Linked DNA regions of Drosophila melanogaster. The protein of the gene in region 1 interacts with the protein of each later gene in a pairwise test. Each region holds a gene or a part of one and is shown in the gene's direction. Other genes may lie near its edges.

Region 1 (4,910 bases):
ATCGATAATCCAGACAATAAGGTAATGGGTTTTCAAGAACATTCAATGAGTTTAACTAATCCTTGGCTACCTTTAGAACTCAATTCTGGACATACAACATGTGGCGGTGAACGCAGATGGATCAGTGAACATTAATTCCTACCTGGACAGTTTTCCTTTTCCGTACTATGTGATAGTCCGGGACCTTAACCAGCTGCCGCTGGTGCTCAGCGAAGCCATGAGACAATGGTTCGAGTTGGTTAACAGCGAGTAATCATTGCATTTACTCTTGAGATAAAAAGAAGTGACTTTTACTTATTAATATTAATACAGGCTTGAATATTTAGCCCACTTAGTTATATTTCACATGTAAATATTAACTTGTACAAACTGAAAATGTGACCGAGTGTACGATTGTTCACTAATGCTTTTATAATTTACTTGAAATTGTTACTTTTTTTATTTTTTACAATTAAACTTTTGTAAACAGTATAAAGTTAGATTATATAAACATTAAACGATTCTAAGGTGCTTATATCGTTATCGCACTGGGCCTTGATCTTCAATCATTGTTGTGAAAAGCTGTAAAAAAAGTTTCGGATAGCAAACTACGAGTATATAACATGAAGGTAAGTATTACACCTGAAGTATGTTGGGTAAATGATAGGTAGAATTAATAAATTGAACTTAGCCAAGTACTACTAGTCAACTATAAGGTAAACAATAAATTCCAGTTTGACCAATATATCTATATCTATCTATCTATAGATCATATAGCTGTATGCAGTTGAATCGGTCGTTTTACATTACACAGACCAGAAAGTAACTTGGTTTTATTTTAAAGAAATAGGTTTATAACTCATTAAGCGTTTTTAACATAATTTCCAAAATAAAAGGGCTTATCGAAGTTGTGCAACTCCTCAGAACAAACTTGTTTCGAACTGAAAAACAGAGAAAAGCTGGTAGTACACCATATAGTTACATCCTGCTGCCACACTGCTTATCCTAGTAAAACTTATCCTGTCTTAGTTGACCTTCGTACGACCTCAGACTCAACATGCTTAAAGATCGACCGAAAGTCCCTGGTAAGGCCATATTGGTCCATTGCCTCGCACAAAGTTCGTATGAAAAACGAACCATGATTTTCATTGCGATAGCTCAAATAGGGTTCGTTGTTGCTCAAGATTAGGAGGATAAATCCAGCCTCCTGGGTGAATTGTTTTTCAGACCCTTAAAGAAATTCGTTACTAAGAATAAAACCGTTTGCTCATATTTCTTACACTCCTTCACTTTGTTTCTAACGACCGCCAAAGCTGGATTAGAAATTACTTCAACAGGACATTTTAGGCTTTCAAATGTCTTGCGAAGAGCATTGGCATCATTTGAGCTACCCCTTTTGTTCAATTGAGAATCCTGAGGGAACTCCTCATGTTGAGAATGTACACAATTGGAGGCTTAAGTTTTTTGATTAAATCATATAGTCTGTCAATTTGTAGCAATACGTACTTTTTGATGTTCAATTCCTTGAAAAAGATCCATGTTTCTTGTTCCCCGATCTAAATTTAACTGAGTAATACATAAAGGCCCGTATTAGATTTATGGCACAATCATATTCATCGACAAATGCAAGTACAACTTGGGTGTTTATTGTTATTTCCCGATTATAAAGGTATTGCCGATTGTTGCCTTTTTATACCCTCTTACCCTACTTTATTACTTAATTAACCTACTTACTTAATTAATTGGCTGTGCTTTTAACATTTGCACAGATGAAGTCGGTGGTGAAAACCCAAAAGAGTCAACGGGAGAAAAGACAGCAAAAGACAGGCAAGACAGCCTGTTGACGAGTTATCTTCTATTCTACGAGTGGCGGGTAGATAAAGTCAGAAGGTCAGTAAAGGAAGTTTTAATCGGAAAATAGTAACTCAATTTGTACTTTTTTTGTCGATGAACAAATCCGGATGTTGGCTATATAGCTGGCCAGATAGTGACTGATAAGACAACAAATATTGCACTTGCTTTTGTGCATTACTCAGTTAACGTTATATCGCCGAACAGTAAACATGTATCTGCCCGAAAGAACAGAACATCAAAAAGTACGTATTGTTATTATTATTATTTTAAGAAACTTAATGGTCTTTACGAAAAATCCATTGATACAGATTGAGAGACTATATGACAGCAACAGGGTCAACGCTGAACCAGTAAGTATAAATTGAAGAAAATCACAAATCATCCATTGAATTTTCCTTAGGGTCAAGGCCTTGATTTAAATGAAAAACTAAAGCCGCCAGCCGTGTACATTCTGAATCATGAGCAGTTCCCTCAGGATTCTCAATTGAACAGAAAGGGTAGCTCAAATGATGTCAATGCTCTTCGCAAAACATTCGAAAGCCTAAAATGTCGAGTTGAAGTTATTTCTAACCCAGCGTTGCCGGACGTTAAAAACAAAGTGAAGGAGTGTAAGAAATATGAGCAAACGGTTTTATTCTTAGTAACGAATTTCTTCAAGGGTCTGCAAAACGATTCACCCAGGACGCTGGATTTGTCCTCTTTATCTTGAGCCATGGCGACCGAAAAGAGAAAATCTTGGCATGCGACCACAGGGAATACCACTTGGACGATGACGTCCTTTTTCCCCTCTTTAGAAATCCAACCTTATCTGGCAAGCCAAAAATTTTAATTGTTCAAGCCTGCAAGGGTCCGTTGAGAGCTGACGCGAAAAAAATGAACAACGAACCCTATATTAAGTGTTACAGCTGCTCCGAGGGCTATTTGAGCTATCGCAATGAAAATCATGGTTCGGTTTTCATACAAACCTTGTGCGAGGCAATGGACCAATATGGCCTTACCAGGGACTTTCAGTCGATCTTTAAGCATGTTAAGGCTGAGGTCGAACGAAGGTCAACTATGACAGGGTAAGTTTTACTAGGATAAGCAGTGTGGCAACAGGATGTAACTATATGATGTACTTCCTGCTTTTCTCTGTTTTTCAGTTCGAAACAAGTTCCTTCTGAGGAGTCGCACAACTTCGACAAACCCTTTTATTTTGGAAATTATGCTAAAAACACTTAATGAGTTGAGTTATATATTAAAGAATTTCTTTAAAATATATTTAAGATACTTTCTGGTCAGAGTAAAGTTAAATGACAGATTCAACTGATCCATATATTTACTTTCACTTTGTCAAACTGTAATTTACTGTGTTGATATCTTATCTTTAAATAAATCAATCGAAGCGGAACCCGGAGATAATGTTAAGTGTTCAAGGAAGTGGGTAAGCAAGTGGGTAGGCATTATAACGCGCTTACCTATTTATCAAACTTTATTTACCAATATACAAAATATATCTGTGGACGGCAGTCAACTTAGTGACGAAGCGCACCTGGAATTTACAAAGCTCTGACATGGTTGATTGTAAAAAGTACTGTACAATAGATTTTTTTTTATAATATTTTTAATTTCGAATCCGATTTGCTAGGGATAATCTCAATTTTATTTGAGTTCACCAAAAAATCATGAATGAATTTTACAATTAACTTAAATACTATTGAGATCATAAGCACCTAGAAAAACAGATAGCACAATCCAGACCCACAAGGCAATTTTATTCTTTCTGCGTAAGCTGTTAAACTTCCAGGACGTCTTCGGGATCTCTGACTTCGACATAATACGAGTAGACGACAATCCAGAAGTAGATACCACAGCCTGAAAAGGATGTTCTTTAAGGATGCAGTAACTCACAAAAATAACAACTTACATATATATATTGCAGATCCTGGGACTATTATCTCGCGGTACCGCTCCTCCTTAATCAGCATGTAGATGCAGTACACAAACAGGATCATACAGTTGGTCAGGCTAGTGATCAGGAAGAACATCAGGAGAACAGTTGATCTCTATAGTGGTTTAGCTTGGAGATGGGATCGGCTGCAGTGGGTGCCAAACAGTGGCTGCACTTACGATTAAAGCTCCGCCCAGCAGGAATGTGCAGCCGATACAATGGCAGATTGCCACCGCTTGCTCAATGTGTGCGATGAACTCCTCTAGATGAAGGTGGGATGCATTACCAGGGTGATCATTTAAATGGATCTGCCAGCCCCAAACTTACGACCCGCCAAGTTAAGCACCACTAAGTTAATGATGAAGTCCACGATGGCTATGATGATGCAGGCTCTGCGCAATTTAATGCAGAAACAGCATTTTTTCACCATTTTACAATTTTTATCTAGACAACTCCATAAACTGATTAGAAAAGCAGAGCTACTGTCAGAGAACCACAGTTTATATTACAACTAGTACTGTTAAAAAAAAAAAAAAAAAAAAAACGTAAGACATGGGAACAAACCGTTCTTATAGAGTTTGCCAAATAATAGAAGCTACGTATCTGTTACTTATCTATTAAATACGTATTATCATGACATATTGTGAGCGAATTGCGAATATTCCAGTCGCATTGGTTTCAGTGCATTATGACTTTCATTTCGAGTTGGGGGTTTTTAAGCTAAAAAGCACATTGTGTGCTTATACTACTCGAATATCACTTGGGACTGCCAGCGTTAAAATAAGTAGATAATTTACCGAAATAATGCTTGTTGATTCTACATGTCAGAAATGAATTTAATTTTCATTATTTCACATTTGGTTACTTCTTGTTCGCGGGTTAGTAACCTCTTTATGAAGTTGGCGCCCCATAAATACCTTAGTGTAGATCATGGAACCCAATGACCGTCCCTGGCCGACCAATGCAATGTGCGAGTTACATAATAAATTACAAGTGAACATCGCAATCGAGCATTAAGGCGAATGCTTTTGGCAAATATTGGCCGAAAAGGGGCCGGGAAGACCCAAAAACAGAACGTGACGACGACGGGCCCCTCCCTTTGATCTGGTTTGCCTGTGCAGTTTTCAGTTTCGTTTTCATCAGCCGA
Region 2 (5,330 bases), on another chromosome or scaffold:
GCGTTTATGGCACCGATGCCTCCTACTGCTTCCTGCATTTCGGCCAGGATTCAGGACCTTTCTCTACCCAAAGTGACGATCCCATAGCAGAATCGCCTTTTTCCAAGCGTTGATAGCGCGAAATTAGCGTTATATGAGTTGCCTATTCAGCGCTCATTGTCCTGCCAAATTGTGAAATCAACGAGGATCAAATCGAATGGTGGGTATCGATGGTGGATTGAGGCGCCTCTCCATTTGATTCGAGTTACATATGTTTGAGGATAATTTAATTATCACAGAATACTTGCTAGTCTGCCATCGTGGCCATGGGCTCAAGGTCATCGGGGATTTTTGCTATCCTGCCAGGCGCAAATGTAGCGATTCCATACTGGGTGCCTGGTACTGCGAACTCCTCCCGTTGGGTTTGCTTAACCAAACGCCCAACGGGCAGCCGCACCGAGCAGTAGAAACCCAACCTTTGTTGCCTTGCGGCCTCCGTTGTCCTTGATCTGCATCTCATCTGGATCTTGCACTCCGGCACTTGGATACGGATCCTGCCGAGGAGCATGCACATTCGTCACATCTCTGTGGGTCAATTTCCTCGCTGGCGTTTCAAACGGAGGTTGGGGTCCATCATTAATTCTTGCAACACTTGGCGCTCTCTATTGTTCGCGGCTTTCAGGTTTTTGTTGTTATCCCACTCGGCGCTTTCTTTTCTTTTCCATCGGTTTTGTTTAACTTCTTTTCGAGGGTCTCTGTTGCGTGAAATTCTACAATTAATCAAACCCACGACGGCCCATAGAAAAGGGTCGAAACTATGGTTATAAGCCGGAGGCAGCGGAGCATAATGGTGGCAAAAGCATGACAAGGATGTGGATGCGGTCATGGTAAGGATATGGATGAAGTCACTTTGTTAAATGTTAAATTGGAAAGTTGGAAACATAAACTGATCAATAGTCGCTGATTTTGTATTCAACTGAATATGTTTCCCTGCATCCAATATGGTGTTATATATTTAATATCTCACTTATTTTGTTTGAAAATAATTTACTATGATCTATCAATAGATAGTTCTAAACACACACTTTTATATTTATATGTAATATACTGATAATTAAAATAAAACCTACAATTTGAAATGAAGAACTTTGTTCACCGTTTCCGAAAGCAATAAATAACTGAGAGAAAAGAGGCTACTCGAGTGGCAATATAAACGAAAGCCATAATTAGGTATCAATAAAGGATATATTACGCTTGTAAAGAGTGTTAAACGCGTACTCGATTGCATTATGGGTTCCAGTGAATATCTAATTTGATTTCCGGGGCCAAGTGGAACCCCAAAGAATATCTCAAGTGAAGAGTGAAAAGCAAACGCCAGGCAGACTGATCTCTCAAGTCCAGTATTCCCTTATCCTTATAACAAGGTATCCATAAAGGATATGTAACGCTTAAATTGTATCGTGCTACTTACGGCATTAATTAATTTCCGGAAACCAGTGAAAGTCGAAACTATGCATAGGATTTGAATGGATGGAATGCCCAGGATCTGGAGCAGAAGTATTGTGGTTCCCTTGTACTCGTATACCCCCCAATCCAAAGTTCTCTGCTCTTCTCCCATTCCACGGTGCTTTTCACAGCTGAGACGCCCCCTGGCGGCGAGCGAGACGGTTGCTAAATGGGTCGAGTGAGCCAGAGCGAGATGCCGTTGTGGAGAGCGCTGCGATTGGTCCGCGTAGTGGTTACCTGCCAAGTGACTGTGGGATATGGCCGACGTCTGGGCCGTGGCTTCACAGAAAGGCAACGATCTTGGCCGACGTTCGGATGGTGAAGTCAGTCAGGCACAGACTGCGCAACGAGCCACACCGCATCTCGTCCTCGTTCTCGTCTTCGCCTTCGCCTCCGTTTCATCTTTCCCATCGAGATTGCGAACTAACAGATACTTAGATATTCGAAGTGCAACTAATCGGTTAATCAATACCTCGCAACGCTTACTTATGACTTTGACAAAGTGTCCAGACATTGTCCAGAACTAAAGTGATATAATCAAGTGATATACGAACTTCGAGACTGAGTTAACACCGGTTTTGTGCCGGGACAAGCTTACGCATCTTGGAGCTCCTCCAGAAACTATGACCGTAACCGCCTTTGCTGCCGCAATGCACAGACCCTTCTTCAATGGATATTCTACCATGCAAGGTGAGTGTCTATCGCTTATATACAACATCCAGCAAAAGTCACTTTGGAATATAAGTCACTTTCACAATGTACTTACTAAATATCAAAGCCTAGTTGATCATTTCCATATATCTTCATTTCTAAACCGACGGCTCAAGATCCCGCTAAAGATCTCAGTTTGGGCCAAGGCCGTCGGCTACTCTCTAATGGCCATTAGTTGCCCGGCGGGAGAGTCGCGCGCCTCTGACCTTCGACCTTAGCTCCGAGTTTCCCGTCTTCCCGGGAAGTCAACTCCGGTCGAAGGTGTCGTAAATCAAGTGACACGCGCTCCGCTCTACCTAGCTAGTATTGGAAAAGCCTCTAAAATTTCCATTTTCTCATCTTCCTCATTCCAGACATGAACAGCGGCCAGGGGCGCGTCAATCAACTAGGTGGAGTTTTCATCAACGGTCGTCCTTTGCCCAACAATATTCGTCTTAAAATCGTCGAGATGGCCGCCGATGGCATTCGGCCCTGTGTGATCTCCAGACAGCTACGTGTGTCCCATGGCTGCGTATCGAAGATCCTGAATCGCTACCAGGAGACTGGCTCCATTAGACCAGGCGTAATTGGTGGCTCCAAGCCGAGGATAGCCACGCCCGAAATCGAGAACCGAATTGAGGAGTACAAGCGCAGTAGCCCGGGCATGTTCTCGTGGGAGATCAGGGAGAAGCTGATCCGCGAGGGTGTCTGCGACAGGAGCACAGCACCATCTGTGTCCGCCATATCGCGCCTGGTGCGCGGCCGAGATGCTCCATTGGACAATGATATGTCTTCTGCCTCTGGATCTCCGGCGGGTGATGGCACCAAAGCATCGAGTTCCTGCGGCTCCGATGTCTCAGGTGGCCATCACAACAACGGCAAGCCCTCCGATGAGGACATCTCTGACTGTGAAAGTGAGCCGGGAATCGCCTTGAAGCGCAAACAGCGCCGCTGCAGGACCACCTTTTCCGCTTCCCAGTTGGACGAACTGGAACGCGCCTTCGAGCGCACCCAATACCCTGATATCTACACCCGTGAGGAGCTGGCCCAGCGCACCAATCTCACGGAGGCACGCATTCAGGTGTGGTTCAGCAATCGGCGTGCTCGTCTCCGCAAGCAGCACACCTCGGTCTCGGGCGGAGCACCTGGCGGAGCAGCTGCCTCAGTGAGCCATGTCGCCGCGTCCAGCTCTTTGCCCAGTGTGGTATCAAGTGTGCCCAGCATGGCTCCGCTGGCCATGATGCCGGGATCCCTGGATCCAGCCACTGTGTACCAGCAGCAATACGATTTCTACGGCAGTCACGCCAACATTTCCGTATCCGCCGCAGCTCCAATGGCCAGTAGTAATCTATCGCCCGGAATTACAACCACGCCACCGCACCACCATCAGTTCTACAATCCCAGCGCTAACACAGCCAGCTACATAATGCCGGGTGAGAATGGCAACACCACACCCACCGGGAACATCATCGTCTCCAGCTATGAGACTCAGTTGGGTTCAGTTTACGGCACCGAAACGGAAACCCACCAGACTATGCCACGCAACGAGAGCCCCAACGAGTCCGTGTCCTCCGCCTTCGGGCAACTGCCACCCACACCCAACAGCCTTTCCGCGGTGGTGAGTGGAGCTGGTGTGACCTCCTCCAGTGGGGCCAACTCGGGAGCCGATCCCTCGCAGTCGCTGGCCAATGCCAGTGCTGGAAGTGAGGAGCTATCGGCTGCCCTGAAAGTGGAATCGGTGGACCTGATCGCGGCCAGTCAGTCGCAGTTGTACGGCGGATGGAGCTCCATGCAGGCACTGCGCCCCAATGCGCCACTTTCGCCGGAGGACTCGCTGAACTCCACCAGCTCGACCAGCCAGGCTCTGGATGTCACCGCCCACCAGATGTTCCATCCGTATCAGCATACGCCGCAGTATGCATCCTATCCGGCACCAGGCCACGCCCATTCGCATCACGGACATCCCCATGCGCCGCATCCGCACGCACATCCGCATCCGCAGTACGCAGGCGCACATCCGCACTATCCGCCGCCCAGTTCGTCGGCGCACTTCATGCCCCAGAACTTCAATGCCGCCGCCTTTCCTTCGCCCTCGAAGGTCAACTACACAACGATGCCGCCACAGCCGTTCTATCCCTCATGGTACTAGAATCAAAGGGACACGGATCCACCACCTACTCCTCCAGGAGCAGGAGCAGGTGTCACCAGATCCATGGTACAAGTCGCCAAAGATGTACATACCCATAGAGCAGGGGACGAAAATATAAATAACATTTTATTTGTGGTGGAGCAGTACAGACATTTTCCGTTTGGGAAAACCGCTGACAGACTCGCTCCTAAACAATAAACATATGTATTAGTTCCAATTCGTAGATGTAAGCCTAGAAAATAGTACCGACTTAGGATTAGAGTTTAAGATGATTAGCCTAAGTAGCAAGTGCTCTTAAATAAAAAAATATATCTATGCTAATTTACAACGTACTCCAATGATCTTTCACTCGAAACGCTGGCCATTCAGCAGCCTTGACACGCTTCCGTACGCAGCGGGAAATGGGAAATCCTCTGGGCCATTAGAGCCTTTTAGTAGCTGCGCATTCCACGGACCTGGCTGGAGATCTCAACACTCGCCCCGGGTGAGATACCGATTCCGATTGCTGCTCTCGGAACTTCAGATCCAGCTGTGAGCGGGTCGCATAGTTTCCGGAAAAAAAGAAGAGAAAACTCCCGAAATGCAAGATGATGATTTGGAACGTCCAAAATAGCGAAGACAACTCCAACCAAGGTGTTAATTGCCCCCTCGATTCCATCGAATAGAGAGTGTTGGTCCCTATGGGACTACGAAGTAAATGGAGTAATTGCCCTCGTTCGGACTTACCTCAAATTCACACCTCATCCTCGGGGATCTGCCTACCCAACCATATTCTACGTGTCCGAGCGATGGCAATTAATGAAGTCATTATCCTTGAATCCTCACCTCCAGACAGCTCAGACAGCCTAACGCACACTGGCTCTATTATTTTAATCTAGAAAAAACTCCTAATCGCTATTTGCTCTATCGCTCTGGCCATCGAGGTGAAAAGTAAATATTGACTTTACAATCGACTTAGGAATCGGAATTGGCAAATGGCTTAAACAGGTAGATTGGCAAAGATCTG

The links.
Region 2: the proteins of Damm (region 1) and prd interact in a two-hybrid assay, tested with the Drosophila melanogaster proteins (one large-scale study listed by BioGRID).

Annotation. Positions count from the first base shown.
Region 1 is NT_033778.4:11,863,487-11,868,396, reverse strand, and holds Damm (death associated molecule related to Mch2 caspase), read left to right. Parts: upstream 1-2,013; 5' UTR 2,014-2,042; coding exon 2,043-2,075; intron 2,076-2,141; coding exon 2,142-2,183; intron 2,184-2,233; coding exon 2,234-2,441; intron 2,442-2,491; coding exon 2,492-2,897; intron 2,898-2,975; coding exon 2,976-3,054; 3' UTR 3,055-3,607; coding exon of another isoform or gene 3,608-3,687; 3' UTR 3,688-3,739; coding exon of another isoform or gene 3,740-3,878; 3' UTR 3,879-3,942; coding exon of another isoform or gene 3,943-4,025; 3' UTR 4,026-4,090; coding exon of another isoform or gene 4,091-4,193; 3' UTR 4,194-4,285; downstream 4,286-4,910. Other genes in the region: CG13185 (uncharacterized protein), read left to right, coding at 1-21, 77-253; CG42531 (uncharacterized protein), read right to left, coding at 3,608-3,687, 3,740-3,878, 3,943-4,025, 4,091-4,193.
Region 2 is NT_033779.5:12,082,308-12,087,637, reverse strand, and holds prd (paired), read left to right. Parts: upstream 1-1,810; 5' UTR 1,811-2,108; coding exon 2,109-2,175; intron 2,176-2,259; exon of another isoform or gene 2,260-2,495; intron 2,496-2,549; coding exon 2,550-4,324; 3' UTR 4,325-4,643; downstream 4,644-5,330. UniProt on the Drosophila melanogaster protein: Pair-rule protein expressed in a segmentally repeating pattern to define the polarity of embryonic segments. Capable of sequence-specific DNA-binding.